4 linked regions of the Oreochromis niloticus genome follow. The main gene of each other region encodes a partner of the protein of the gene in region 3 in a complex. Links are inferred from orthologs where the notes say so. Each region holds a gene or a part of one and is shown on either strand. Other genes may lie near its edges. The genes, in order: eif4a3, upf2, upf3b and rbm8a.

Region 1 (8,105 bases), on a different chromosome or scaffold from region 3:
CCACGCTGTGGAGTACTTGGACGCGTGTGATGGAGCATTGTCCTGCATGAAAATCATGTTTTTCTTGAAGGATGCAGACTTCTTCCTGTACCACTGCTTGGAGAAGGTGTCTTCCAGAAACTGGCAGTAGGACTGGGAGTTGAGCTTGACTCCATCCTCAACCCGAAAAGGCCCCACAAGCTCATCTTTGATGATACCAGCCCAAACCAGTACTCCACCTCAAACCAGTACTCCACCTCCACCTTGCTGGCGTCTGAGTCGGACTGGAGCTCTCTGCCCTTTACCAATCCAGCCACGGGCCCATCCATCTGGCCCATCAAGACTCACTCTCATTTCATCAGTCCATAAAACCTTAGAAAAATCAGTCTTGAGATATTTCTTGGCCCAGTCTTGACGTTTCAGCTTGTGTGTCTTGTTCAGTGGTGGTGGTCTTTCAGCCTTTCTTACCTTGGCCATGTCTCTGAGTATTGCACACCTTGTGCTTTTGGGCACTCCAGTGATGTTGCAGCTCTGAAATATGGCCAAACTGGTGGCAAGTGGCATCTTGGCAGCTGCACGCTTGACTTTTCTCAGTTCATGGGCAGTTATTTTGCGCCTTGGTTTTTCCACACGCTTCTTGCGACCCTGTTGACTATTTTGAATGAAACGCTTGATTGTTCGATGATCACGCTTCAGAAGCTTTGCAATTTTAAGACTGCTGCATCCCTCTGCAAGATATCTCACTATTTTTGACTTTTCTGAGCCTGTCAAGTCCTTCTTTTGACCCATTTTGCCAAAGGAAAGGAGGTTGCCTAATAATTATGCACACCTGATATAGGGTGTTGATGTCATTAGACCACACCCCTTCTCATTACAGAGATGCACATCACCTAATATGCTTAATTGGTAGTAGGCTTTCGAGCCTATACAGCTTGGAGTAAGACAACATGCATGAAGAGGATGATGTGGACAAAATACTCATTTGCCTAATAATTCTGCACTCCCTGTAAACACCAAGCTCCTTTTTTTGTGTAGCTGACAGCTGGTAACTGTGCAGGGGCGGATCTAGCAAAGCTTTTGCCAGGGGGCCAGGTAGGGCATTAACAGAGAAAGGTGGACATAAAGATATACTTTTCTTTCTTACTCTCATATAAAATATTTAGCTTTTATTAAATACTTATCTGAATCTTACAACCAAAGTTTGTATAATAATACACAAGATTGGCTGTAGACCATTGTTCATCATTCAGAACACTGTGTAAAAATAACAAAAAACAAAAAGTGAATGCGAAAGTGCATAAATATTTATTTTATGTGTTTGATGTGTGTGTCGGGGCGTGGTCTGCAGTGCCGCTGCAGGGGAGGTGGACCCACGGGTGTAAAGTCTGTGCTCTCTTGGCTGTTCTTTGGGTGTGTGTTGGGCTATGAGTTGAAAAGCTACAGCTGCCTGTGTGGGTACACCAACCATGTGTGAAAAGTGGTCCATAACGTAATGCTTCAAAGCATGTTCATGCAAACATTGTCGGGTCTGCCGTGGTACAATGAGACTTCTGCTCATGAACCTGTGTGCACAGCGTCTGCAAATCGGCGCTGTATGAAGTAACTTCATCTTTACACAAAACTGTAAGCTGTCATCTGTGAAGCGTGAGCGGTGTTTGTTTTTACCATAGTTCATGGTGGAGAATGGCTGCTCTTCTGAGTTTTGCTCTCTGTAGCCGTATGAATGGCAAACTACAGTGATTAGCAGCGGCATAGGCACACATAAAATTTCTTCTGAAATTTTCGCTTTCTAGTTTATATTATATTCTCTGTATAGCACTTTAGAGCACACTTTTCACTTTATTAAAAGCACCTTATCAAGCACTTTATTTAGTATTGCACTTTAGGCATGGATTTGCACAGTAAAACATTTGCACACAAGAAGTTTAAATATTTATTGATTATTTATTGGGCATTTTAAAATCAGTTGGTAGCCTTGTTTCAGATCCTGCACAGCTGCTCCTCATCAAGGAATGTGGTGGTTGTCTGTCAGGAGAGAAGAATGGTGATTGAGATTATGATTAAGGTTTACCAGTAAGGAAAACTAATGCAAATGTGTGTGTGAAATCTAGGAAGGAAAGTGGCGCAAATAAGTGTTTGTAAGACAATGATTACTCACCTTTCTTGTCTGTGTCCTCTTCAGGGTGTTTGGGCAAATGTTTCCCCGGGGGTCCAGACACCATTTAATGGTTCCGGGAGAGACCATTGGTAAAGAGAGTATGGTGAATCTTTTTGTGCTTGGGTTTCTGGGTTTTTATAGTATTGGGTTTGGTGTAAAATTAAAGTGTGAAATATTTATTAATATGAAAATGTGAACTGTATTTATGTATTTATTTATTCTAATTCATATATTGTATACTGTGGTGGAAGGTTGGGATTTAAGAATTTACCTAAGAGTGGAATAATGGTTTGGTCTGTGACAGCTGAACATATTTAAGGCTGCTGGTCCTCATTAGAGGAGGATATATTGTGCTGTGAAGAAGCTCGAAGTGAATTGTTGTAAGGAGAGCTGTATGGCAAATAAATACTTTGTTCCACTGCACTTGCCTTAGTCCATCTCACTGTGTTTCCAGCCGCTAAGGGCTGCCCTATTACAGTCAGCCAAATTAAAAATTGTAAGTTACCATAAATTGTTTTTTAATTTAGAACTTTGTAGACCTTTGTTAATGTCAATGGAAAAACATTTAGTGTTGCTCACTCAGAAAAGTCCAGTTCTTAGTACTCAGTGAACACTCTGTCCTAACTTAGTCACCTTAAGTACGTTTTTGGTTTTTCGAGGCAACAATGAGATAATTCGGTGTGGAGGATGGAATCCAGCCGAGACTGCTGTGAACCCCCCCACCAAACCACACACACCCCCCACTGTGACGGTACCTTTTCCCTCCTACTTGAGTAAAGAAGTTGAATCAGTACTTTAACTTTTACTGTAGTATTTTCAGCACTAGTCCATGTACTTCTACTGCAGTAGAAGAAGTACAGAACATCTGTACTTTTGCCTCCTGTGATGCAGGCAGGTGGGAAACGTCGGCCAATTTAGCAGTTGTAGTTCTTTTAATAAAGCTGCTTCAGTGTGACCTCACAAACAAATAAACTTTATTTAAACATCCAGATTATCTCGTGTCTTTCCTGATATCGCTCCATATTGTGACAGATGCCAAACTGCTGAAGCCTCACTGATCCACATGTAGTGGTCTTGTCCCAGTCTCCTTCAGTTCTGGACAGAGGTTTTTCATACCCTGTCCAGGATTCTCAGAGTGACGCTGGCCCCCGACCCTCATCTTGCTCTGTTTGGCATCAGTGGGAATGAGGTGCCTCTAAAAGACAGGAGCTATCATTCACCCCCTCCCACTCACACACACAGTGGTTGTATGACCTCATGTCGTGTCATGCGGGGTCGTTTCCTTGATGCATTTCCAAATCTATAAGAATTTTTCAGGTGCATGAGTGTGTGCACCTCCCTCATGTCAGGTGTGGAAATACAGTGTACAGTGACCTGGGTGGGAATGAATGGGATTATTTTGCAGGGACTTTGTTATCTGGGGAAGCACTTTGTTTTTACACATTTATATGTGTGTGTGTATTTTTTTTCTTTATTTTTCTTTTTCCTTTTCTCCCTAAATTTTACGGCCTTAAGTGTACGGACTAATGAGCCCAAATGTACAAACCATCCTTCTCTTCTCCTTTTGTTTATATGTATAAAGAAAAAACTCTTAATAAAAAACATTGTTTAAAAGAAATTCATTTAAACAACAGAGTAACAAAGTTTCTAAAGGGGTGAAAATCATCGGAGTATTTGGTGATTTTATACAACAGCAGCGTCAGTCCTCAGCTCCTTCCTGTCACCTGGCCGCACAGGTGACCGCTTTCATATTAGATTACCAGATTAACTGTCAGTTTACACTTTTGTGGTTTGTTTATGTTTGATTACATCATCACCTGCAGGCTGCCCAGTGTAGCGGCTGACGTGATGACATCACACCTGTCAGTGTGTCTCAGGGTCCAGTTTAAATCCTTCAAAAACAGAAGAGCGATACAGAAACATTTACATTTGCTCAGGTTTTATGAAACATATCGTTAGTTTCATCTCTGACAGCATCTTATCAGAATTTGTACGTTTTTACCAAAACGTGTTATTTGGTTTTACTGACTTTAGTGAGAAAGACTCTCATGCTTTTCCCTCATTAATCAAATTCCACATCCATAAATGTAAGCTCTCCACTCTCAGGACAGAAACAGAACAGTTTGTTCCTCTCACAACAAGAAAGCTTTAAAAACATGAATATTTGTAATATTTTAATGTCTTAAGTTAATTATTCAGCGTCTCTGTATCTCTCACTTTCCCCGTTTAATCTGTATTTCTATCCTGTGTGTTTAATTATACATACTCTTCCACTGTGTTAGAATTTTGCACTACAGTTGTACAACATGCTCTCCGTGTGTTGTGCTTGTTGTTAAAGTCTCTGTTGAAATAAAGTTAGAGAAAAAAAGGGTCCAGTTTAATGGAATAGAATGCCTTTATTGTCACTATACAGTTGTACAATGATACAGATACAGAGCATCTCCAACTCAGTGAACATGTGTGTATGTATGTGTGTGTGTGTGTGTGTGTGTGGGGGGGGGGCACAGTTCTGCAGCACTATATTCATATGAACAGTATTAACAGAAAAAAAGGAAACAAATGTACAAATATACAATCCGGTGTAAATAAACAGTGTGTTTTGTATATATAGTTCGGGTTATTGTGCATAGGATGTTATTCCTTGTTTTCAAAAGTCTCTCTGTCCCGGGTTGATCGAACACTGAGACACTTTCTTATTCACGTATTGATCAGTTTCTCATCATTCGATCAGGTTTACGTTTTATTCTGTGTCGTATAATCGGCCTCCGAGTACGCTGATAAAGAACCCGGAAGTTTGTTATTTTTTCCTGGTGTGACGTCAAATCCTCGTCGCCCGCTGCGGACGTCATCGGCGTAGCGACACGTGCTTCTTTCTCTCGTTAGCAGTTAGCTTAGCAGCGCGGCGAAGCGCGGACTGGTGAATCCGGACATCTGCGACTTTCAGACGGATTAAAAGCTCCGAGGAACATGGCTGCCACCGGGGCTCAGGGTAGGAAGAGGATCCTGAAGGAGGAAGATATGACCAAGGTGGAGTTCGAGACCAGCGAGGAGGTGGACGTCACCCCTACCTTCGACACCATGGGTCTCCGGGAGGACCTTCTCCGCGGGATCTACGCCTACGGTAAACCGGGGTTCGGCGCGGCCTCCGGGGGAAAGCTAGCTCAGCTAGTCATCTGTAAAGCTAACGTCGGCGCAGTGTGTTGAGTAGGCGAATTAAAGAGATTTCACTGTGCTCAGTTCGACCCCGGGGGCATCGTATCCGGAGGGGTGCCGTTAGACTGACTATCCGGCTTTTAGTTCTTTCCAGAAGCTCTCCGATTAGCATCAGCCCGACCTGCTAACGTGTCTGCGCACTTTCAGTGGCGGAGAAGCAGATGTTCTGATAGACCTGACTTTAGATCGGGTTAGACCGGACTCTGTGACTGCTGACCCGGTGTGTGACCCGACTTGGTCCAGTGGCTCAGTGTAATGTAGTAACTGACTGTAACTGTATTTAATTTAGTTTATGTGCTGCTGGTTTCCTCGTTGTTGTCTTTTATAGCAGATCGCTTGGATCCCCGGCTGTGTAGGTACTAAAAACAAACCCTGGTACCAGGTATCACCGCCTAACGTAGCCTTTTTCTATTAGTGCCTTCTAAGGTTTCCATTAGATGGTAGTACCAGGTACTTTTTTCAGTACCTACACGGGAAGTTGTGTCGGAAACAAAAACTTTATTGAACATGTGTACAAACAAAGAAGCATTCATCTGTTGATCATGTTCAATTAAATTTTTTATTTTTATTTTTTATTTTTGTAGTCCAGAGTCAATTAAAATATTTAAGTAATAGAAATGATTTATGGGCTAATTCGAACAACCTTCAGAGACTTATCAAACAGCTCGAGATCAGCTCTGATTTCTCTGAGAGCTGTCAATAAAATTTTTTCCATTAAATTGTTAATAAAAATTCCAGTTTAGCACTGACTGAGTTGATTCCCCGGCCGGCAGGCATCACAAATCTCTGCCCATCACAGAAAACATCCACTTTAAATCTCAGTGTAATAAAATCATTAGTTGGGTAAAACTCATATAAAATGTTAAAACTGAGCTCTTTTTTTTTTAGGAAGGACTGGATATGAAATATATATTTTTCTGATATTTTGGTGATTTGATCCAGCTAAGTCTTTAAGGATGTATCTTTTAAACTCATTAGAAAAACTTTCAGTAAAATAATTATAATACCTTTTAGATTTTTCTGTCACTTAATTCAGTATTTTCAAAGTGCTGGTGGTGTGGTAGAGCCGGGATCTTCTCTAACTGTAGATGTTAGAGGGACTGCCATTGCTGTTATCAGCTGATTATAAACTCAGTGAAACAACAGCATCACCAGGATCTTTCATGAAGCGGTGTTTTTACTGGTGTGAAATTGTGTTTATTGTGTTTATGAACCCAGTAGAGAAGAACCTGTCTCTTTCTCTTATATTTAATATAACCACACTACGGATGGACAAGCGCCTGTTTTTATACGTCGTCATTAGCAACAGCGACGGTAAAACTATCGCGTGTCCACTTGTGTATTTTCCACATAAACCTTTCACAATAAAGCTCAAGATCCTGTTGAGACTTTTCAAAATAAACTGAATCACGTGAAAGAGGATGCGGCGTGTTTGTGGATGAGAAGCAAAAAAGAGCCATCAGTTGCTAAAAAATAAACCTTAGACTCAAGCATTAGAACAGACTTTTCCCCGCAGCACGCCGTGTAATAAATACTCACAAAGAAAACGGCGGCCGTTACAACTTATGTCTAAAAATATATAGTTTCATGCATCGGTTAAAACACTCGACTCCAGGTACACGACGCCCAGCTGGAAACACTTCACGCAAGTCGAGCTGCCCGAGATTCACAGAATTTACAGAAAATGTTAAATTTTTGTGATTTATATCGTTATCGGAACGATAATGTCTTATATCGGAATATGAGATTTTGGTCATATCGCACAGCCCTAGACTGGTTTTCTTCCTACTTATCAGACAGGACCTTTTCTGTTAGGACTGACAGGTTCACCTCTGACATTGCTGCCCTGACCTGTGGGGTCCCACAGGGTTCAGTTTTAGGTCCATTACTATTTTCTTTTTATATGCTTCCTTTAGCTGGTATCATTCAATCTTTTAGCGACCTGTCTTATCATTTTTATGCTGATGACATCCAGCTCCATATGTCCTTTAAGCCTCATCAGCTGGATAGGCTGTCCACCCTAGTCCAGTGCTTAACCCAGGTTTCTGAGTGGCTTTCAAGCAACTACCTCGTTCTAAACACTAACAAGACCGAGACCATGATCATAGCTCCTCCTGAGCTACATTCTAAAATCAGTCAGGTTCTTGCCTCCTTCTGTCCATCTGTCAAGTCAAATATTCGGAATCTTGGAGTAATATTTGACTCTTCTCTGGGCCTCGACTCTCATGTAAAATCTTTGTCTCGTTCCTGTTTCTATCATTTAAGAAACATATCTAAACTGCGACATATGGTCTCTTCAGCTGAACTGGAAAAACTCATTCATGCATTTGTGTCATCATGCTTAGATTACTGTAATTCCCTGTTTACTAGCTTGGATAAATCATCATCACCTCCAGGCGATACAAAACGCAGCAGCCAGACTATTAACTCGTTCTACCAAACGTGTTCACATCACTCCCATCTTATATTCTCTACATTGGCTCCCAATAGAGTTTAGAATTTGCTTTAAAATTCTTGTTTTAACATATAGCGCACTAAATGGCCAGGCCCCAGATTATTTATCCAAGCTTCTTATAAAATACACTGCTGCTCGTCATCTCCGCTCACAGACTCAGAGTCTCTTAGTTGTTCCCCGTACACGACTGAAGACAAAAGGGGACAGAGCCTTTCAGTCTGTTGCACCAAGGCTGTGGAACAGTTTACCACTACAGTTACGTTTGCTTGACTCTGTGGATTCTTTTAAAAAACAGTTAAA
Region 2 (7,780 bases), on a different chromosome or scaffold from region 3:
CTCAACCAGGTGAGTCTTCCTGTGCTGCTCTGATGAGTCAAACCAGGCAGTTTTCAAGTGTTTTCGTCAAACCTTCTGCTCTCTTCCCGTCTCTCACTCAGGCGTTGGGGATCCTCTGTACTCTGGCAGGTATCCTGTCTTACACTCACTTCAAGCTGATGGAGCAGGAAGAAGGGAAGAGCCGGCTGGCCCAAAGACCCTAGGCCATCTTAACATGTTGGTCTGCTGCACAGACTCCTGCTATTGGCTATCCACAGAGAGACCAGCTAGAGATACCTCTTTATATATTTTTACCATTTTTATTACAGTTATTTTTTTAGAAGAGAAGGGATTTCATCGTGGATCGTGTCAGATTTAAACGTATATGGCATGTTAACACTGCTGTTCATACTACTTCCACTGAGCTTCAGCAGCACTGATCCAAAGTCTTAAAGAAACCTGAAGCTCATCACAAAGGCAGCTTCTCAAGTGTTAACTCGCTCTCATCACGCAGCTTTAACATAGATGGATGGAGGTGAGGTTTAAACCAACCAATCAATCAAAAGAAGGCTGCAGTTGGGCTCTGTGAAAGATCCTTCAGGACACCAAACCTTCATCTGTTGCTGGAGGCTGAAAAAAAATATTGCAGTGATATTAGAAAAATTGCATCATCATCTGCTGTTTTTCTGATTTTTGGTACTCAGTGCAGACATGAAGGCAGAAGACACTGATGGGAATCCATCAGCAATCTGGCTGGATTTGTTTAAACAAGTTTACATAATAAATACTTCTGTCAGGTCCCACCTGTTATCCATCAACCACTGGAAGAAACCAGTTTGCTTTGAAGTGAAATTTGAAGGATTTTCTTATTAAATCATTTCAGTGACTTACAGATCATGAACACATAGAAACTCAGACACTGTTGGGGCTACAGCAGTTTTCCAAAGAAGTGAGTGGCAGAAGCTTTTCTGTTATCAGCCTTTCTGTATAAGTGATTTCCATAGACTGATCAAAATGAATTTGATTGCTAGTCAAAAGCCAGTAACTTACATGTGGTATGAAGTGATAAATGAGGTTCAATATTGAATAAAAAGTTACTAAATAACTTCTCCATAAACTGTTCTAAAATTTGTGGAAGACTTTATAATCAGGCAGAAATGGGTTAAAGTGAAATGGTTTATAAAATGATGGTTTCTTCCATTTCTGAGTCTCTGGCTCGTATTACTGAGCAGAAAAGTGACTCGTTGCAGTTCTGCAGGGCTGAGTTTGCTGTGTAAAATTTTTGTGGATTTTCTTTGCAAAAGTTATTTGTTTGGCCCTTCAAATCAGACACTGACCTGAATAATTCATTAATCTGTTGGGGGATTTTGTTGTTGTTTAGAGTCTGCGATAGGTCTAGTTTTATTTCAGATTTAGCCACATTCATTGCTGATGTAACTTTTTTAAATTAGTATTTTTTGATAAAATTTTCTTAGCTTGTGTAGCTGTTATTTAGTGACATATTGCATTATTTGGGTTTTTTTTTTTGCAGTCTGATCCTTTGTCTTGACCGTGTTGATGGTACAGGTGGGATTTTGGGGACGTGGCTCAGCAAAGCATGATGATCTGCTATTGTGGATTACAAATCTGGAGAAATGCTCAGTTACTCAAAGAATTGTTGAAATAAAACTTTAATCTTCTGCATCTACAGTGATTTCTTCTTCATGACACTTTGTGATGTACAGCAGCTTCTGAACATGTAGTCCTCAATCTGACATCCTCGTGGTGAGCACGCTCAGTAGCGCTTTCTTGTTTATATTTCACTGTATTAAGCAAATTCAGCCTGCTGAATAAAAACGAATTAAGTGGCAGTTTGGATTGTTTGAGGGTACACAAGTATCTAGATGTGGTGCTCCTGAAAAAAACAAAAAAACACCATCCGTTAGTCTTTATGATCTTGTTTACTTGCTATCATAAATATGCTATTAAAATGACTTCTTGTAATAAACATGGCCAGTCTGAGCCAAATCTTCTGACATGCAGTTTTATCTACTCTTCACTTTGTATTAAGCAAGAAGGAACATCGCATAAACGGACATCTTGTGCACAGAAGCTCCACGCACCTGCTGTTCAAACCTGTTTATTGGAGGCAGCCAATGAGAAGAGAGTTGGTTTAAAGGGAGAGGATGAACTGAGTTTGAGCTTTACAGCTTTACAGCAGTAGCTTTGCATGACTGTAAAATATGGAACTGGAAGAATGGTTTAAACACCCACTTTAGGAAGGGCAGCATTTTCATCGTTGCTCGCCCAGACATGACATCGTAGAGGAGCACACTGTTGTCATCTGTAATAAGCATGTTATAATATAACCACACCTAAGTGGAGTTCTCCTGTGAACGGCCTCACTGTGGAGCGTCCCTGGGTTTCCCCTTAGATGCGTGTGTGCCTCATTCATACCCTGCCAATAAAGCTGCAATTGTAACACACACACACACACAGCAAGGCTGTGCCAGGAGGGAATTTCAGATGAATGAACAAGTGGAAAGAGTGTGTGTTTAAATAAATCTCTACTCTCTGAGGAATGAGCGAAACCCGAGAGCTGTTATTAAACTGCATACTGCGGGCATCCTACTGCTACCACTGTGGGTATGTGTAGAAGGTATTCATAAGTGTTATTTTTGGGGAGAGAGGACTGAAATGCAGGCTCTGGGAGGCTGAATAAAACAAGGAAAAGTTAGCTTTAAAAGCTGATGAAATACATACTGCTAAAATCAAAAGAGGAATCAGAGACTTGTGAAAAGTACAATGAGAGAAAATGGAAAAGAGGGAAAGGCAGAACTAGAGCCACAGCTGAATAGTTCATTTCTCTTGGGAAAGTTTCTAAGTGAAGTGTCCCTGAAGCGCAGCCACAATAAGAGCTGTCTGAATTCTGTGAATACTTAGGAAAAGTGCTTCAGTGCTTCCTTTACGACCTCGTTTAATATTTTCTAAAAACAAAGGAGATCATGTGGTCCCACAATTCACAGCAAACCACCATTCAAATGTCATGAAAGACAATCAGCAACTGACAGCTGATAGAATCTACAAATATTCAAAAATATGTTTTTAATCTCTAAACTTTAGGCTGCTTCTTCTCCATCTTCTTAATCTACTTCCCACCTCTGCACACATCCAAACAATCTCAGCCTTTGTCTTCTGTCAACCACTCAACCTGAAATGTCCCCACTGGTCACTCCAAATGAAAATCTCAACATCTTCAGCTGTGTTACTAGCCTTTCTGTCTTGTTGTATCTGCAACCATCTTCTAAACCATACATCCATTCTCTTCTGCTTATCTGGTTGAGGGTTGCTACCATAGGACGGGAGTCAGTCTGTCTCAGTGCTAACACAGACAGCCAGTCACATCCACTCCACCCTGTCTTCTTCCCTCCTTCGTGCACTGTCGGTTGCTTTGAATGGTTGACCTCAAGTATTTAAACTCATCCACCTTCGCTGCCTCTACTCATTGCATGTTCACCTTTCCACCTGTCTTCCTCTCATTCACACACATGTACACACACACCTTCATCTTTTGGTAGTCTGTCTACACACCTGCATCAACAACATGCAATGTTACATTATTAAGGAGGCTTTGGTAAGTGCAACTGGATCCTCTGAAGTCCTTATGAATTCCCCTTTGCACATTTCCTTGAATTCATAATTTCTTCCATTAAGATCAAGATAAACTGATTAGGAAAAGGGGGTAGTAGGTCAAAATATATGCAGAGGACTGATTGGTAAAGAAGACACAGATATGAACAGCTAAACCTGGATAGACCGAATATAGCGAAAAGAACAAAGCATGAAGTAAAAAAAAAAAAAAAAAAAAACATTTAAGAGATTTAAGAAAATTAACTTCCAGAACAAAACAGGAAGTAACTGAAAGATGAAAGTAAAGATGAAACTGTAAAGATGAAAGTCCATAATAACACCTCTACTTGCTTCTTGAAAACCTGCGGTACCCATGTTGAGTCATATCAGGGCACTAAACAGCCATTATCAACTGTAACCTCTTCACAGATATAACTAATACCTACTCACAGCCCAGGATGTGTGTTGATTAGTGATTAACTGAAAGAAGACAGTGGAATAATCACCCACAGGTTACCTAAAGCTTCAGTTGATGCACCTGTTAACTAGTGGTGAAAAACTATAAATAGGAAAAACAGTTAAAATTGCAGAGAGAGTATAATTATTTCTCCAGGAGGACTCTTTTGTCCTTCACAGTTTCTGTTATCAATGCATGGCATTAAAAACCTGGCAAAAGAAAATACTTTTGAGGAAAAACGATTAGGGTAAAAATTATATCTATATCTATCTATATATATATAGTCTGACCTGTTAGCAGTCTGGAATGCTGCCTGTTGGGGAGACAACAATTTTAATATATAATATAATAACATTCGCTTCTTTAAAGATTAAATTGTTAAGGCAATCGTTTAGAAAGCTCAGAATAAAAATGCTCTCATGTACCGGAGAAAATGTAAGGTAACTTATATATTTTTTTAATCAGGCATAATTTGGAACTCCAAAACGAGAGGGTCCTGATGCTGTTCACCCGGAAATCAGCACGGATGAACCGATGTTTGTTTTGCTACGGCTAACAGGTAACCCCGCTCATCTTTACATATTATTTAGAAGAAACTGGGCTTCTCTAAACAGGGAGTGCTTGCTGTATGTTTGTGTAAATTTGCGTTTTAATTACTGTCTGTCAGTTTTGCGCTGTCTAAGCGTTTGTTTGCGGCTGTTTTCGCTAAGTCCATTTGAGCTAAACCCGCTAGCTGTGCTAACGCTAGCTCTGTTTTGTTGTAAATTTGTTTGTTCATTTAAAAACGTCGCAGCGTCTGCTGGGCGCTGTGAACGCGGCTTTCTCCTTGTCTTTTAAAGTGAAGCTTCTGCTGAGCTGTTCACACGGAGGAAGCTGACGCAGGTGTAGCGGAGGCTCGGCGGATAACAGGCGGAGTCTGCGTGGGCGGCTGTCACGCTGATTTTAACGTTACAAGTTCAACCCCAAAAGGTTGATTTTGTTGAACGTAGCGTTTACAGTGGAAGAACGTTACACGTTTAACGTTAATCTCTTCTTTTTAAACACGTGCACGAACCAAACAGCGTTTACACGCGCGGACAGGTGTCAGCTTTAAGGAGCTTCTCGCCTGATTTACCTGCTCACCTGCAGGGCCCGTTCAGCCGTGTTTACGTGGAGTTTCTGTCTGAGTGTTTGATTAAACTGAATTATTTTTAATTTTAGGCCCTTATGACATCTCACCACGATGACCCTTCCTCCATTTTGTGTCTGGAGACTTTAGACGTGACTTTTAGTTTATATCAATCCTGACTTTGTTTTAATGTCTCAGGTAAACAGGAAATCGTTGGGCTTACCTGTGCGGTTCGATCACAGCAGTACAATGATAGTCTGTGTCTATGTTTAATTTGAGTTAATTACTTTTGATTTGTTTCAAAAGATCTTCAAAATGAATTACTATAGATGTATCTGTCTGCCCCACAAATTTTTATAAATATTTTGTTATGTCTTTTCATGGGACAACGTTGAAGATATGACACTTTGAACGGATTTATTTTTCCAAGTGGACCATTATGGCTTTGCCATAGTCCACTTGATTATTATTTATTTATTTTATTTTATTTTTAACTTTTAAGTTTTTAGAAACAGAACAGACATGACTTTTCATGTTGTTTCATGAAAAGATATAATAAAATATTTACAAAAATGTGAGGGGTGTACTTGTGAGATACTGTACATTGTTGCCTCACTTAGTTAACTGTTACTGTGTACCTGCAGCCCCGCCCACAGTGAGAGTCCAGAGGGGTGTACTCTGAAGTGAGATGAATGGTTTAGTGAGCTGTCTTAAGATTCAAATCAGAGGTTTCAGTGTCTCTCTTTTTAGCTGGCTAAATCACCATGGTAACTGATGCTGAACACATCACTGTGTTGGGAGCAGGTTGTTATCAGAGTTTCAATTTAAAATGCAAATGCAATATTTTCATGTATTCTCTTATTTACAGTATGTTATGAGAGCTCTATTATCTGCAGATACATGTTATATGTGCAGCTTGTTACCTCACTAACATCAGGAATGAAACTCAGCTGTAAAGTACAGCACTGTATGTCACATTGTCAGTGGAATGTGCGTGTAAAACTATAAATGTTTTTATACTTTAATGTATTTTTCGGTGTAAATGTAACTTGGACCCATATAAGCTGAGTTTGTTTGATCGTTAATGGTTGGTTTGTTGATTTGAGGATTTTGGTGTGTTGTGCTTGGTGTGCAGCTGTGTGTGATAAGTGTCAGGACCTGAAGTTTCCCAGGAGAATGTCAACAAGTATTCAAATGAGTTATTCCCATTTCATTGGATTCATAAGGTTAAACAAGGTCCGACAACAAGTTCCATACCCTCCTGAGGGTTTTTTCTTAAATTGGATGGCCTAATAGAGTCAAAGGAAATCAGAACATTTAATAATAAAGCTGATAATTAATATTTCAATTTTAATAAGAGGCTGATTGAAATATTTTCAAAGAAGCACAGATGGTTGTATGATTATTTAACTTATACAGCAGCATCTGTTGTCATTAAGCTTTTCTTGTTGTCCTTCCTCAGTATGCCTGCTGAACGCAAGCGCTCAGTAAACATGGATGAGAAAGATGTTTGCACCTTCAGCAACAAGGAAAAGGAGAAGGACAGGGAGGCTGACAGGAGGCCAGGATCTGCCCGGGACAAGGCCAAAGACGAGGCCAAAATGACCGGCAAAAAAGACGGTGGCAAGGAGGAGAAGAGGAAGCGGCTAGAGGAGGAAAAGAAAAAGAAGGAGGAGAAGGAGCGGAAGAAGAAAGAGGAGGAAAAACTGAAGGCAGAGGAGGAACAGAAGAAGAAGGAAGAGGAGGAGAAGAGGCAGCAGGAGGAGCAGGAGAGGAAGCTCAAAGAGGAGGAAGCCAAAAGACAACGTGAGGAGGAGGCTGCCCTCCTCAAGTAAGTCATCGTGATTGTTAAATTCTGACTTAATAGCGATTTTAGCAATGTTTAAAATGCCATTTAGATCAATGCTACCGCTTACTTAATCTTAGCCACATTTATTGGAGGAAGGCGTGAACACATCAATGTTAACAAATCTGCCAAGCGCAGGGCTGTGATCTTGCTCCATATCATGTAGAAGAACAACATTATCGTCAAAATCCAGCACAAATTTTGGTCAGTAGTTATGCTGAGGCTCATTAGTATATAAGCATAATAAGAGTGGGGAAGGCATACAAAGACTTGTTTTAAAGTCTGTAGAATAATACACTGCACTAAAGTTCACAATAAAATGAAGATTTGGCGACATAAGAGCTGATAAAATGGCGATTTGACCTACAACTTTATCCCAAGATGAATCTCTGTAGTTTTTACTAATTTAGCATTAATAAATTTGAAGATAAACTTTGATAAAAACATTTTGAATTCAAAGATGATCTTTAATGAGGTTCTAATTTACTAGAAATACAAAACCTCTCCACATCAGTGCTTCATCTGCTTGTGCAGTTTAATCTATTGGGTTTAAAAGCTGTACATTTGCTTGTAATAAATGAACTACACAAAATTTCTAGATTCCCTAAAATGGCTGTAGTTCTGTTCAAATGCAAGCTGATCAGGTGAGTTTATTTGAAAATCTCCATGTGGCCTTTGTGTAAAATACTTAATACAGTAGCATGTAAAACAAAAATGTAGTGGTAAAGCTCAAGCGACTTAAACCTTGTGTTAAAAGTTTGTCATACACTGTCTGCAGATG
Region 3 (7,790 bases):
GCTGTAACTTTAACTGAATGCCTTTCCTCAGTGGTGTTAAGATGACTCAGAAGAAGAACGACGACCAAAAAAAAAAAAAAAAAAAAAAAAAAAAAAAAAAGGCACCTTTGTAAAAATGTAAATGTAATGTGTGTGTGTTTTTTTTTTAAATGTGCAAGAATTAAATGTGTTTCTCAGGCCAGCATTAAAATATTAATAAATAGAACAGACAGTAATTATTTTAATCTAAAAATCGCATAATAAAAACACAAGCTGATAAAGTGCAGAGGACAAATTATGGCACCGAGTTCATGAGAATCATAGCTTTACAGAAGCAGCTGCACTTTAGGATTATCGTACAGGCTGTGAAGCTATGCAGTCCTCTGCCTGAGGGGAGGGCGGTAAACGGTTAATATAAATGTCCTCTAAAGAAGGAGAGCTGCTACAAGTCACTTTTCAGGCAGATTTATCAAATCTTTACAGTGTGTTTTTATTGCCCCCAGAGCAGTTGCCATACCAAACAATTATACAGTATGTCAAGATGCTCTCCAGCACACAATAAAGAAGTCAGCACAGCTGCACCAAGGCCAGTCTGCTTCAGCTTCTTCATAAAGAAAAACAAAACAAAACAAACGAAACAGCTCTTTGTGAGCGTTCTGATAATACTGACCACATTTGTGGTTCATGTAAGGTTACTGGACATACGCAGAACCAGAGCCACAAGCTCAAGTTTCTCCAGGAATGAAACCTGTGATCTCTCCTCCTAAAGTCCACCACAATCCCTTTCGTATTCCCCACACTGATGCACACATTGTTTGCATCACACCTGCCAACAAATTCTTCCACCTGTCTACCGTACATTGCTGGAGATCAGACCAATGACGATTGTGCCATCTATAAATTTCATCACATGAATGCCTGGATATTTTGAGGAGCAATCGCGTGTAAGCAGTATGTACAGTAGAAGGCTCAAGAGACACCATGGATCTTGACTAACCCATTAATCTACTAGTAGTGTAGGAAATGTGATGCTAAACCTCAAAATGATTAAAACAGTATCTATGATAGATAAAGGAAATGGTATGGTTATGATAAGCATAAACAGACCCATTAAAAATAAAGTATTCTGGTATTAATTATAATGGGATCAACCTAAAATAGCTTGTTCACTTGAGGGTGAATGTATTTGGACAATTAAAAGAAGAGTGAAGAACTAACTTCCTTCCTCGATCCTCCTTGTGCTCGATGTTCTGACGTCTCTTATGATCAGAACCTCCCAAAGATCTGTCCTCTCTATTTGGCTTCTCTGGTTTCTTGGACTTCTCTTTTGGCTTCTCCGGTTCACCTTCATCTCTTCTCTCTGGCTTCTTCAGGAGCTACAACAGTAAAAATAAACACACATTAAGTACTGAGAGTTGGACACAGTTTCGAACTGCTTCTTTCAACTACTGCACACACCTTTATCTTTGGCTCGTCTTTAGCTTGGTCCTTGTCCTTCTCCTGCGGTTTCTCGAGCTTCTTCATCTTCTCTGCCTCTTTGCGTTTCCTCCTCTCCTCCTCCCTCCACTTACGACGCTCCTCATCACGCAGACGTTTGCGCTCGAGTTCCCTCCTTCTTCGCTCTTCTTTCTTCTCCTCCCTGAGTCTCTGTAGAACATTAAAACAAAATGTGTGAGGCCAGCCTCCAGCAATGTATACACATCTCGACCTGAACTTATTTACCTGTTTATTCTTCAGGAAGTCCAGCAGAGGAGTTGTTTTTTTTGCTTGAACAAAGGAAATGATAAAAATTATTCATTGTGCAGTGCGTTTGTTTGAAAACTACCAGTATTTGACTGCTAAACATACCAACGAGTTCCTTTGATTTAGCTTCAATCTCCTCCAACAGGGTCTCAGGTGTGGACGTTAGCTTCTCGTCGTCCCCGTTGTAATATTCAAGGAACTTTTTGTAATCTGGATCTTAAAAGAATCAAATGAAACACAAATAAACACATTAATGATTATAGCAAGACTGCTTTTTCTGTATCTTTATATGTCTTTATAAGTGTTCCTAAATTGCACTTAAAGCAGACCTATAATGCTTTTCCTTATTTTCTGACATACTGCGTTACAATATATGAATTGTATTTATCAAAGGGTAAATATATTTACCTTCGACAATTGTTCCACACTTTGCATCCTTTTTTTTACTTCTTTTCTTGGCAGTTTTTTGAAAAGGTGCAAATTCCACAATGGCAGGATACTCCTGACCTGTTCGTAAACATCATGTGGAAAAAGATGAAACTTCGGGTCCTTCCTACAGAAATCTTTAAATCTGTTTAGTAACTTCTTCCCTGTTTTATACCTCTGTTGTCAATGAATACATATCCATCAAAGCGATCTCTGAAGAGCACTATATCCTCTTGGTTTTTGAAGTTGATGTAAGCCCTTGCAAAGAGGTGAGGGTAAAGGCTAAAAGAGGAAAACACCTGTGTCATACATATACGAGTATATTTATCTTTTGTTAACAGTGAGGGAATCTTTACAGATAAACTCACCTCGTGTCGTTAGAGAAGAACTCCAAATAGTCCACCTCTGGGAGCGGTTGCAGTTGCTCCTCCAGCTCCTCTTTGGTGAGACTTGGTGGTAGTCGTCTGATCACAATCTATTTAATAAAAAAAAAAAAAAAAATCATAGGTGAAGTTATTATCTGGAGAACAAAGTTGGGGCTGATAAACAGATTTCTTAAGTTCACGTGCATTCTATCATTATACACGTGAAACATGATGAAACACTACAACATGAAAAATAGTGCAATTTTATAAACCTGGCGGTTCATAGCAACATGAGCTAACGCAGCTAGCAAGTTTTACCTTTGTCATGGCCTCCTTCTTTTCCTTGGACTTCTCCGTCTTCTCTCCATCTTCATACTTTATCTCCACCCTTTTCTCCTTCGGTCGAGTGTTTTCTTTGTCTTCCTTCATTGCAGAAAACTTTACTTAATCCTGGACTTGGGTCTCATCTCATTCAGCTGACTTGTTTACCTTTCAGCGAGTTAGCCTCTGCTAGTGAACGAACTAACTGGAACTTCCTCACTGACGGTTAGCGCTGCGTTTAGTATCAGCGCCGGAGTGGGGCGCTGTACATGAACTCAATCGTGCCTAGGCAATTAATTTAATAACTAGAATATATTTTATTTTGTTTTATTTATAGTCTTAATTAGTTTGTCCATGAAAGGAATTATTCTGAATGGTTTCTTATTTGCTATTAGAAAGAAATGGTGCTAGCGTGAGCCAAAAAGAGCTTCCGCCTTTCAGCTACACTTCAAATTAAAAGCTTACTCGTCGTGTAAACACTTAAGTCATGTTTGGCGATTTCCAGACAAAAAACAAAACAAAACAAACGAACGAAAGAAAATTAAATAAACAGGATATATATATATATATATATATATATATATATATATATATATATATGTATATATATATATATATATATATATATATATGTATATATAAAGATTGCTTAACTGAAAATAATTGCCTTCCATAATTCAAAATGCTTCTTCAGAGATCGCTTTGCTGGTAAGTCGATTTTTTGGTGGGGAGGAGACTAACCCTAAACTCAAATTTTTGAGATAATAACGAAAAGGGGAAACGTTGACCTATAGATAGCTAAACAAACGTTTTTTAAGTTTTTTTTTCCAGTGACAAGTGTCCATTTAAAAAAATTAACATATAATTTGAATTATGATAGAATTTTTAACACTTTTTTTTCCTCCCCACATATCCATGTCCGATCGGTTTCGTCTTTTGACTGTAAAAGCATAATTTAATCATCGATTTAAAATTACGATCAAAATGAATTGTTGAATTGAAGTGTTTTATTTTGAAAATCTTCAACAGGAAGTTCTTCTCTTGTCCTGGAAGAGGAACGTAGGTCGTCCTGACGGTCGACATTTTGCTACTTTCTGGGATAAATAAACAGCGTTAGGTAGGTTTTGGGGCAACTTTGTTGTCCTCGAAGTTGCTCTTTGTCCCCTGACAGTTAAACGCTGTAATCATGTGGTATGAAATTCTGCCCGGACTCGGCGTCATGGCCGTGTGTCTGATCATTCCCGGTGTCGCCACCGCGCAGATCCACAAGTTCACTAACGGAGGAAAGGTGAGGACGCAGGCGCTGCCAGTAGGTTCTCGTGTTGTGTACCAGACTGCTGGATTATAAAGAGTGTGTTTTTCCCCCGCAGGAGAAAAGGATTGCTCGGGTTCCGTGGCAGTGGTATCTCATGGACAGAGATAAGCGAGTGTCAGGAACCGGACGCCACTTTGACTCCAAGGTTAGCTTCCTTCTGCCCATAATAACTAAAAGTAATGCTAATGAATAACAAAGTGTCCAACTTGGAACTACTTTACAGCCTTTCTCTGAGACTACAACTACATATAAATACAAAAGTCGCTTAAACTGCTCGACAGTAGTGTGCACAGTTTCAGAAAAAGCAGTATGTGCAAATACGGTGCACTTTCAAAACCCTAGTTTTGTTTCAGTCAGGCATTTCATGGAGGCACACCAATGTCCACATTCACAGAAAAAAAAAAAAACACTGTATATCATGTGACTCATCTGTGTATATTCTTTTAATTATAAAGGCATTCTTGGTAGCACATTTGCACTATCTGGGGTGCATCTGTACTACCTCCACGCCATCAATCAGATCCTTTTATGTGTACAAACACAGTGCATTTGAATATCACTCATTATTGTTTTGCCTCCCTTGGACTTGTCTCAGCACACCAGCATGCCATTTTTTTTGGGGGGGGGGGATATCGAAATGATTTCTTTTTTCCTTTTCCTTAAGCTGTAGTATCTTTAAGATCATTCATCTGATTGGAGTAGTTTTATGGGAATCTGTGTTACAAATTTGAACCCTCTATCTTTGAAACTGTTCATCTAAAAACTTTCAAATATTTGTAATGCAATCAAATTTTCAAGCTAATTGGGTTTCTCAGAATGTGATGTTTAACTTCAACAACACTTTAGAAATTCCATATTCCTGAAGTCAAGACAACAGATATTTGGCCTAAAAAATTGAATGACGTAGCTTAAATAGTTCTCTGGATTGGTGCATTTTCAAATGGCTATAACTTCATTACAAAATAATTTTTATCGAAACGTGTCCTATAATGATACTTTAACCTAAACTATATAATTATGCAAAGTGATCATCCCAACATGCTCTATGCTAAATAACCCAATGCCATGCTTTAGCCTTTTATATAGTAAGTACCACACGGTGGTCTTCCTTGTTCTCGGTCATCAGGTAACACCGATGGCGGTGTTAGTCTTGTGTAGAGCATAAAAGGAGACCTAAAGTCCATAAAATGTGTTTTTAGCTTAACTGAACACAATGGCTGCTCATGTATAACTACTTTTAATCCTTATTTATTTCGCTTTTCCTCACCAGGGACTTGAGAACATTCACTGACGAGGAACCCGGAGAGACCCAAGAGAAGAAAGTTCTTTGTTGTACATTAAAAGATTATATTTAACATTCAGCTGTTTGTGTTTTTCAGTCTTTTAAGATGGGTGATTAAACTCTTCCACACACTGGGAATCTTGTGAGGCTTCTTATATTGATTTCTACCAGTAACAGAAGAGAGAAGGAGTGTAGTTACTATTTTATTTTATTACATCTGCTTACATGTTGACAGGTTTACTGGACTTGAGATGTCTCACAGTACCTGCTGTTACCATTTAGCTGTAATACGCCTTCCTGCAGCATCACGTTAACTGTAACTAACTCTATTGTTCCAAGTAGCTTCAAAAAACAACTATTGACAAAAACTAAAAGACGTGATTAGTCCATACATTTTTTTTTTTTCAGTGCAGTTCATTAATTTCTTTCAGTCTGGGATTAGGTTTAATCCAAGTTGTGGAAACATGATGTCAATGTTTTCTCAGTGTTTCTTTCAAACCACCGTCACAGGCAACCTGTGGTGGATGCTCAGGTGATATTAACTAATAAAAAAAACAGCAAATGCAGGAAAAAAATATTTTGTTTCTTACAAAAATGTTCATTTAAAAAAGCACTAATTGAAATGCTGTAAAAAGTAAAGAATTCAAAAAACTCCTGTAAGAAAAAAAACAATAGTTCTGTATTAGCAATTTATAGAAATTTCTTTCTCACGCCAGTGAAAAACATCTTAAAAGTCATAAGACTTTCAACTTGTAAATAAATAAAGGTTTATAAACAGCTGAAGTAAATGCACACTGTGGCCACTGATTCACTATAAAGAAGCTGAAACAATTGCTAAAGATATTTGGGGGTCACTGTGGCTAAAAACCAGTCAAGTATGGGCACCACTTTAGGTCAATGAGTGAGCAGGTGATCACATGTCACATGGTCAGAGTGCAGTGTCCCTCCTCACTTTTCTTTCTTTCCACTAAAGGCAAACATGCCCAAAAAAATCAATATGAACAAAATTTCCACCTCACCTTTCCAAAAGTCGGCCATTGTTTTTACATTTATTTGACCTGTACCATATCCAGTGATAAACTGCAATATTGATACTATGTGTATTTTCTGAGGCAGAGACTTGTCTGTGATGTCACAGATTTTACCACTACAAATATATATTATTTTGAAATGAAAAAAACAAAACAAAACATGCTTGGAACAAAGTAGACTTTTGCTTTAGACTGTGGACTTGAAATGGTGGTAAAATTAATTTGGCGGCACTTTTAAAGACAGCTTGAACTTTTTTTCAGTACTGAAATTTTCATGTGGTTCCTGTTCTTAAGTAGCTATTTGCTCAGATATTTGCTCAAAAACACTGGCAGATTTATTTTTAATATTCAGAGTTTGATGGTAAATTTTTTGCCAAGTTTTCTTAAATATGCTACAATTAACTCGTCACAAAAAATGATCAGTTATTTAGTTTAAAAAAAAAGCCTTTATTTAAGTGTTTCACTCAGATGAGGTCCTGCACTTTAAAACAATAATACTACAAACTGCTCTTTTTTTCTAAATGGTTTTCTACTCTTGATGCATTTATCACTTATAGTAGAACTCCCGGCAAGAACAGAAAGAAATAATAAAATGGCAACAAGATATGATAGTGAAAATTTATTTAACATTCTGGTTGGGAGCATTTGAAAACATTTACAAGAGACGGATAAAAAAGGGAAGGAGAATACAACTGAATACTTCTCAGACACATTTTTACAGTTAAAACACTCCTGCACTGTACACTCGATTCAAACTGAGAGAGAAAAAAAAAAGCTTTACGCCTCATGTCACTAAACAACAAGTAAAGGTTCCAATAACAGGAGACAGAAACTGGTCGTTCACTTCTCCTCCTTGCCTTTGGTTTTCCTGTACACCATCTCCCTGAAGCTCGACAGGATCTTGCTCTCTCTCTTTCTCCTCTCCTCCTGGTTGAACGATGCCAGGGCTCTCTTTTCGTCTGCGCTGTAGATCTGGTTTTCCTTTCTCAGACGCACAGCCTCCATACGACGATGTCTGCGGGGCGAAAAATTTGTCAATATTACGGGAAGAAAAGCTGAACACGCTCCTGGATCTGCTCAACTCAATCCAGCCTAGAGCACAAGCTAAAGCAAATGTTACAATGTGCAGAGATTAGTAAAGAAATTAAACAACATTTTGAAGCATTTGGTAACTTTTGCTGCACATATATGTTTTGAGGTTTGGTTTAAAATCAACTGGAAATGCCACATTTTCACTGATTCCTTTACTTAACCCATGTTTTAACTCACCATATAGAGCCTCTGCTGGGAGAACACATTTTATATGTTGTTGTTAAAGTGTGCCTCAT
Region 4 (7,294 bases), on a different chromosome or scaffold from region 3:
CTTGCCCTCACCTAGTTCCCCATCGTTAGACTTGACTGTGCCCCCACTAAATTTTATTTCAGCACGCCTTACTGAAGGATGTCTGCATCCCTGAAATGCAACTGGAAAAGAGAGAAGAGGCATGCTGAAGGAGCTATAATCAAAGATGATCAGATGCATCCTCTGCACAAGTGTTTTTCCCGCATGGAATAAGTGTTATACACAGCTGAAATACAATGACAATGGTGGGATGAGGACTCTACAAATAGCTGTTCCTTTGCATTCATGCAGTTGTTTCAGTTTGGCTGCAGAAACAAACTTGCTCTACTTTACCATTTGTGTGGAATAAAAACAAACAAATGTGTAATATCTGTATATTCCTGATTTGAATTTGGTTAAGTTGACCTAACTATAAAATAGTGTCACAAGCCACTGTTAAACTGACTTATGGGATCATAAAAAACAGACAGCGCACAACAACAAAACACTAAAAGGACAATGAAATGTGCTTTTGGTAAAAATTTGACGTCGTGTGTAAAATTTCCAGTTTGATCCACATCACATGTTAAAAATGAGAACAATCTGATCAGAAAACCAGCAAGCAGGTTACCAATAATTCCATTTTTCACATGAACAGAGGAACAGTATGGGATTGTTAAACCAAAACATAATCCTTTACAGAAATTAAGGACATTTGCAGTATTAAAAATATTTGGATTTAGGGTTTAGTTTAGCGATAATTAGAACAAGTCAGAGAAATGTTGGTTACTTTTTTGGTAACTAACTTGACACTGGCACTTCTCTTTGTATGAAATCAGTTAAAGTGTGACTCGGTGGATGGTCTTGGCTCTGGCTTCTGAGTTTATTCTTCATGGATGGCATCGTGGTGTCATCATTAAGGGTCAAACAAACATGTTATGCAGCCAGGTGTTGTGTATGCAGCTGGAAGGCAACAGTGATCTGTCTGGGCTCAAACCACCTTTACCCCAGAATGAAGCAATGTTTTCAACAAGCCATTTTTTCCCCCACTCAAACACAATTGGATGTAAAAGCCAGTCAAACAAAACAAAAAGAGCCAATTTAACAGTTTAACAGAAGCGTTGTTTGGGGTGTACAATCAGCCTGTCTGAAAGATCTACGGAACAACCCCACGCCTCCCATTCCTCAAAGTATAGCTGCAAACCACACTGAGGTTCAACTCCAAGTAGCGGGCTAGAATCAGGTATCACCAGACAGCGAACCTGTACTAAGCCAGGGTTATCAGCTCACGCACGCACACAAAAAACCCACACAATAATAGTATGTGGTTTTTGTTGTTGTATTTTTTTACCTTAAGGTAACCTGTTCTGCGATCAAGGTTGAGATGGAGGTTTTTGATTTCTCCAAACTCTGAAAACTTGTCATGGATGTCCTCCTCTGTGGCCTCCTCATGTACACCCGTCACAAAGAGGATCCAGCCCTCCACAGCTGCAGCAAGGAAAGGAATCAGCATGTAATGAATCAAGTACCACTTTCAAGTGTATCAGCTTAAAAAAGACAAAAAACAAACAAACAAAAAAAAAGCGCTGTATTTGAGTCATAAATAAAAACTAGTTGTTGACAGTGTGATGCCAAAGGTGCTACGTTGCAATAAAGCATTTAATGTAAAATAAAAAGCTTTGCTTTGATATTAAGTCAATAAATAACAGAAGTGACACTTTTTTGGAAGCAAGTCTGCTTTTTTGTAAATCTGAATGGATTTTAATGGTACCAGCGTAATCCTTCTTTTGCTGTTGATTAACTCTGAGATTTCTATTCACACATGTAGCTTGGACTTTATACTATTGACCAAACTTATCATTACAAGCATTGGAGTTGTAACTCAAAAAAGCAGCAGCATTGTCTTACCGGTTACTTTTAGAAAAGTAATGCATTACTTTACTAATCACAAGTTATTTCATCATTTTACTTTTGCATTACTCTGTAACACAGCCTGTGGTGCTGTAGTGAAAGGTTTATAAATTGACAATTATGAGAAATTGCACCACACAATTGTAATGAGGACAAACACACAAATTATTTTTGTGCTTAAGTATTAAGACAATGACAATTAAGAACATGTATTTAAATAAGTTCTAACATGTTCTACCCAGTAGTGATTATCACATCAACAGCAAATGATGTAAGATTACCCAGAAAACCACTGGTACTTTCTGCTATATCACAGCAAAGCCACAGCCTGCCGTTTCAAGTTCGTGACATAATCCTTTGTTAAACCGTTTCTTTACTCACATCTCTGAGGGCCTGGCTCATCCCCATCTTGTTCCACAGTATCATAGTCCTCTTTGGTTCTGGACCGGGCTCCCTCCTCTGGAAATATCGACAAAGAAACACTTACTGTACTGCATAGCTAAAGTAAGAGAGGCTATGTAAAATATCGCCATCACACCAGGGGTCACTCACCTGAACCGAAGCCTCTTCCTTTCCTCTTCTTGGCTTTCTCTTTCAGCTTGTGGATGCTCTCTAATGAATGAAAGATGAACAAGTCAAAGCCAGCGCACGTCGCTGCAATGCTCTCTTGACTACAAGTTATCAACGAACAAAATTCGCCAATTTAATTCAGCTGACTAGGAACATGTTTAACATGCCCGCTCCCCCCAGTTTGAGCCGCAAAAACAATTACCCGTTAGCTGCACTAACCGCGAATTAGCGTGTTAGCAGCTGCTAACAACCCTCACAATGAGAGTTAAGTTACCGGCCAAGTAAATTTCCCCTTCAAAAAGAAACAGGTGAACTTTAAAGACCTCTATGTCCGTAGCCTCGCTAACTTGTACGGAGCGACTGAATAAATCAACTATACGGCGCTAACTCGCATTAGCATGTTAGCATTGATCGGGCCTGCCACCACGCAGTCTAGCTTTTGTTCCGTTTACGAACATGGCGGCTGCGATTCGGACCTCAATAATTACACATCATTTGAACGCGGGGACAGTAAAGTATTTTCCACTAACAGTGAACATAATATGATTACCATCACCATCCTCATCCATAGGAAAGTCCTCGCCTCCCGCTTCATGAAGGTCCAGCACGTCCGCCATGATGTCTCTGTGTGTATGCGTCTGACCAACGTAACGTACGTACGCAAAAAGCGCTGAGAGGTAGGCGGAAGTTGCCAGTTTGTATAAAATAAAAGTCAATATATTAAATAAAATACACAAATACAAATGAAAATAATATATATATATATTTTTTTAAAGGTAAATGGTAAATGGCCTGTATTTGTATAGCGCTTTACTTAGTCCCTAAGGACCCCAAGGCGCTTTACACTACATTCAGTCATCCACCCATTCACACACACATTCACACATTGGTGACGGCAAGCTACATTGTAGCCACAGCCGCCCTGGAGCGCACTGACAGAGGCACTATTATTTTTATCACAGAAAGTAAAATGGCTCAAATCAATTTACACAAACAGGCACAGTTAGGTTTTTAATGGTGTAGCTTTAAGATACCTGCACTTACAGCACTGTGCAACTTGTCATTTCTCTATATTTTGTTTGGAAAATAAAAAAACTGGTGCAATGGTTTATTGAAACATGTGCAAACCAATGACGCAAACATACATGGAAATACAGTACACACACAAAAACAAGTTTATACAATTCTAACAAGCTTGAAAGGCAGTGTTTGGTGTAACCACCTTTATTCAGTTGAACTCTCTTGGGCACCTTTCTTGTCATTTGTGTAAATAGTCTTCAGGAAAAGTTCTCCAGGCTTCTTACTTCTTGGGACCACCAGAGCCCCAAAGACTCAAATACAACTGCAGCAATGTGCTGTGAGGCAATGTGCAAAAATTGCAGTGATAGTAGAAGAAACCTGATTCATCTACGAGGACCCCACCCAACTCCACTCACTTCCATTGCAAGTGGAGTGTATGATTTAGTTAAAATAAACATATAACACTGCAGCTAATATTTCAGCACACGTGGTATATAATATTAAATACTTTTAAGGTGCACATTTTGAAATAACTTTACAAAGCCATTTTTGTCCATTTGATTTAGATCGTGATCATCAGTATTTCATTTTTTTTTTACTTAATTTCTTTGAGAACTGTAGATAATAATTACATATAGTCTGTACATGCAAAACAAACACAATGTTTTTAAAAAATATTTTCAAATACTTTGATTTTAGCAAGGCAAACAATGGGACATGACATAGACACTCTTTACATATATCATGGGGTTTTCTTGCCATTTCCAATGATTTGTTGCAGAGTACATTAGGGTTTTGTAGAAAACTTTGTATTCAGTGTTAAATTGTCTTCATTTATATTCTGGTGAGATGATTAGAAACATTCACTCACTTGCCGTCAACTGTAATCTGAAGACTTATTAAACATGTCACATTTCAGGGAAAACAGTGTCGTTTATTTGTTCTCTCATCCTGAATTTAAACATTTCCTGTGTTTCTCCAAAAGTTGAATCTGTTCATCTGGACGTAGCGTTTTGTGGGAGAAACGTTTCGTCACTCATCCAAGTGACTTCTTCAGTGTCAGCTGAAGGAACAATGGGCTGTCAGCCCATTGTTCCTTCAGTGGGCTGTGAGGTCCTTCCTTCAGTGGGCTGTGAGGTCCTCACAGCCCATTGTTCCTTCAGTGGGCTGGTTTCAGTCATTATGCAAATGTACTGTTTATAAGGTTTGGGGAAACCTGCAGTCAGCTGACACTGAAGAAGTCACTTGGATGAGTGACGAAACGTTTCTCCCACAAAACGCTACGTCCAGATGAACAGATTCAACTTTTGGAGATTTACTTTCCTGGATGATTGAGAATGCATCAAGACATTTCCTGTGTTTATTACACTGTCATCTAATCGTGCTTAAAATCCACAGCGAGACAGTGTGCCTGAGGTTTATGACTCACATCTTCAAAAATTCATGCTCATTCAATCTCTATTACAGAGATGCTGTGATTTCCGATAACACATCCCATTATGTCTGAGTTACTCTTATGCTTTGACATAAGTATACACAGACTCATTTTCAATTGCTATTCTAATTTCACTGTATGACCTGGAAACAGGAGATGAATGTGTGTATTTTCACTCATAATAGTGTCTGCTTATATTACACTTACTAGTGTGAACTGGCTCTAATATGACTTCTGTATCATATGTAATCTTACCTAGTTTACAGGGAATTGCTGTTCCCTGTCATAAATTACAACATAAGATAAGGCGAAGGTGAAAAGAGCAGCATTTTTTTTTTATCTTCATCCATATTTTAGGCCGTTTTTTGGTTGTTGTTTTTTTTGAGGATTTATGTGTTGAGTTTGTTGAATTTTACTTTAAACAACTAGAATATCTTTGTTTGAGTTTTGGTTTTTGTAAAAAATACATTACAAGACCAACAGAGGGCAGTCATGAATCCACTCACGCTTTTGACCCATGTGTTTGAAAGTCATATAAAAGCTGTTCATGCTTGTATTCTGGTGTCATTCTGGTATACTGAGAGCTATTCTTACTGTGAACTGAAATCAAGTGTCGGTAGAGAAATGACTTCAAGCAATGTGTAATCTGGTTAAAGGGTAAAAGCAAAATAGTAGAAAGATGAAAGTAGTTCTGATAAACATCTTTAGTAAATGTACTGACCCTTATATAGTGCGTTTCTATTCTTGCACAGCACTCCAAGCACTTTATACAACATGCCTCATTCATTCAAGCCCTTTTATTCTACGCTTTCTTGTATCTTGGCCAAGGATAGTTGACATGCAGACTGACCTGCCCTACTTCCGGAGCTACAGCCACCCTTCCAAGCCCCATAGTAAGCATATATTGTATATAAAAGTAAGTGTGGAAGTGCCTTTAACCTGCACTGTGTCTAAGGGCCAGCAGGGAGCGACTCCTTTTGGATACCAACCGGTCGCAGCAGATGGCCTCCCCTCCCTGAGCCTGGTTCTGCCGGAGGTTTCTTCCTGTTAAAATGGAGTTTTTCCTTCCCACTGTCACCAAAGTGCTTGCTCATAGGGGGTCATATGATTGTTGAGTTTTTGTCTGTACCTATGAAGCACCTTGAGGTGACTTTTGTTGTGATTTGGCGCTATATAAATAAAATGGAATTGAATTGAATTGAATATGATTTAGGGCATTCGAGTTTTTATAGCTAGTCCAGTGTAGTTCTTAGAGGGGAATCAAAGTATTTGTAAGATCTGCCAGATGGTGGATTCATTTAAGTACACTAATGTGAATATTGTGTAGAACAGGGGTGTCAACATGTGCTGCGCAGGCTTACCGAAGGGTCTGGTCTGGCCTGTTGGACGGCTTTGCAAACTGTGAAAATTGCTGAAAAAAAAGTATAATTTCACTGTGATCTATAAGTTTTAATGTACATGTAATGACATTAAATTGAGTGTGAGAAACAGACATTCTTGCAAAAAAGTCCAGCTTAAAATCAAACATCAAATCTTGTGCAAACTACCTCTGTATTAACATTAAAGGCAAATCCTCTGTGCAATAAGCTGCATTTGTCCAGTTCCAGTTGTCCAGATCACCACTTATTTTGACTTCAGCTGACTTTGTTCCAGTTTCTCACAGTGCAAATGTGTTTTGAAAGAAAAAAATAACACCCAAAGCATTTTGGGCACTACAACACATCAGACTTAACACAAGCAAACATCACAAAGACAGTTTTTACATGCTACAGATATGAACGTTTCTTTGTAATCACTTTATTATGCTCAAAGGGGTGCAGTGCAATATCAGGAGGTACAAAGACAGACAGATATGCAGGTTGCCATAGTGACACTACAGACACACAATGTCCAACCTTGCCTGCTGCTGTAACAATAAAGGGTGAAAAAGGGAGCACAATGGGTTTAAAGAAAAAGATAACACTTCACAAATAATTTTAACAGTCCAAAGATTTATTCAGCAAGATTAAAGGAACTGTGGGTTTTTTTCTCTTTTGTAGGTGGTGATACATGTCCCCATCTTGATTGTTTTGATGTGACTTACCTGGTTTTTGACTGGTCTGCAGAGATGTGTGCCTTCTCGTGAGTATAACAGAGTGAAATGACACTCACCATGTGTTGGTTAGAGTGCCACAAACATATATCTGAAAAGCCCAGCGTATAGTCGCTTTTCAAAAATATGTTACTTAAATATAGAAAAATGCTAAGCAGTTTCATGTAAGAATGTTGACTTTCTACTAAAATAGACCCACAAGTCACATGACAGTTTCTACCCAAAACCACAGACTGTATATCAAAGAAGGACGCAGCCACAGTGACAGCATGTTTGGAAGGTTTGTTTTTGCTTGTTTTTGTTTTTAT

The links.
Region 1: upf3b (region 3) and eif4a3 share a complex: the UniProt entries of both Homo sapiens proteins name them as parts of the mRNA splicing-dependent exon junction complex. The link is inferred for Oreochromis niloticus from reciprocal best matches to the Homo sapiens genes UPF3B and EIF4A3.
Region 2: the proteins of upf3b (region 3) and upf2 are in contact, whole or in part, in a crystal structure (PDB 7NWU), measured with the Homo sapiens proteins. The link is inferred for Oreochromis niloticus from reciprocal best matches to the Homo sapiens genes UPF3B and UPF2. Residues at the interface, in NP_542199.1 of Homo sapiens: Lys52, Arg56, Arg57, Tyr79, Glu81, Phe83, Asn85, Asp86, Thr87, Ser88, Leu89, Tyr90, His92, Tyr94, Arg96, Tyr98, Ile130, Glu132, Pro135, Phe136, Lys138, Ala139, Ala140, Arg147, Asp148, Lys150, Val151, Gly152, Thr153, Ile154; in NP_056357.1 of Homo sapiens: Lys767, Arg768, Pro769, Pro770, Leu771, Glu773, Tyr774, Lys777, Lys790, Arg793, Gln794, Arg796, Lys797, Leu798, Pro799, Trp800, Gln801, Cys811, Ile814, Asn815, Trp817, Tyr837, Gln838, Glu839, Asp840, Ile843, His844, Val846, Asp847, Gly848.
Region 4: upf3b (region 3) and rbm8a share a complex: the UniProt entries of both Homo sapiens proteins name them as parts of the mRNA splicing-dependent exon junction complex. The link is inferred for Oreochromis niloticus from reciprocal best matches to the Homo sapiens genes UPF3B and RBM8A.

Annotation. Positions count from the first base shown.
Region 1 is NC_031971.2:41,936,637-41,944,741, forward strand, and holds the start of eif4a3 (eukaryotic initiation factor 4A-III), read left to right. Parts: upstream 1-4,970; 5' UTR 4,971-5,104; coding exon 5,105-5,258; intron 5,259-8,105. UniProt on the Homo sapiens protein: ATP-dependent RNA helicase. Involved in pre-mRNA splicing as component of the spliceosome. Core component of the splicing-dependent multiprotein exon junction complex (EJC) deposited at splice junctions on mRNAs.
Region 2 is NC_031981.2:19,589,445-19,597,224, reverse strand, and holds the start of upf2 (regulator of nonsense transcripts 2), read left to right. Parts: upstream 1-4,496; 5' UTR 4,497-4,604; intron 4,605-6,615; 5' UTR 6,616-6,616; coding exon 6,617-6,984; intron 6,985-7,780. Other genes in the region: slc35e3 (solute carrier family 35 member E3), read left to right, coding at 1-9, 102-203. UniProt on the Homo sapiens protein: Involved in nonsense-mediated decay (NMD) of mRNAs containing premature stop codons by associating with the nuclear exon junction complex (EJC).
Region 3 is NC_031966.2:18,505,902-18,513,691, forward strand, and holds the start of upf3b (regulator of nonsense transcripts 3B), read right to left. Parts: upstream 3,260-7,790; 5' UTR 2,943-3,259; coding exon 2,832-2,942; intron 2,624-2,831; coding exon 2,517-2,623; intron 2,431-2,516; coding exon 2,324-2,430; intron 2,230-2,323; coding exon 2,131-2,229; intron 1,939-2,130; coding exon 1,828-1,938; intron 1,746-1,827; coding exon 1,702-1,745; intron 1,627-1,701; coding exon 1,438-1,626; intron 1,356-1,437; coding exon 1,198-1,355; intron 1-1,197. Other genes in the region: ndufa1 (NADH dehydrogenase [ubiquinone] 1 alpha subcomplex subunit 1), read left to right, coding at 4,021-4,122, 4,205-4,294, 5,420-5,440; nkap (NF-kappa-B-activating protein), read right to left, coding at 7,303-7,477. UniProt on the Homo sapiens protein: Involved in nonsense-mediated decay (NMD) of mRNAs containing premature stop codons by associating with the nuclear exon junction complex (EJC) and serving as link between the EJC core and NMD machinery.
Region 4 is NC_031976.2:34,767,250-34,774,543, reverse strand, and holds the start of rbm8a (RNA-binding protein 8A), read right to left. Parts: upstream 3,122-7,294; 5' UTR 3,057-3,121; coding exon 2,990-3,056; intron 2,482-2,989; coding exon 2,422-2,481; intron 2,329-2,421; coding exon 2,251-2,328; intron 1,447-2,250; coding exon 1,310-1,446; intron 1-1,309.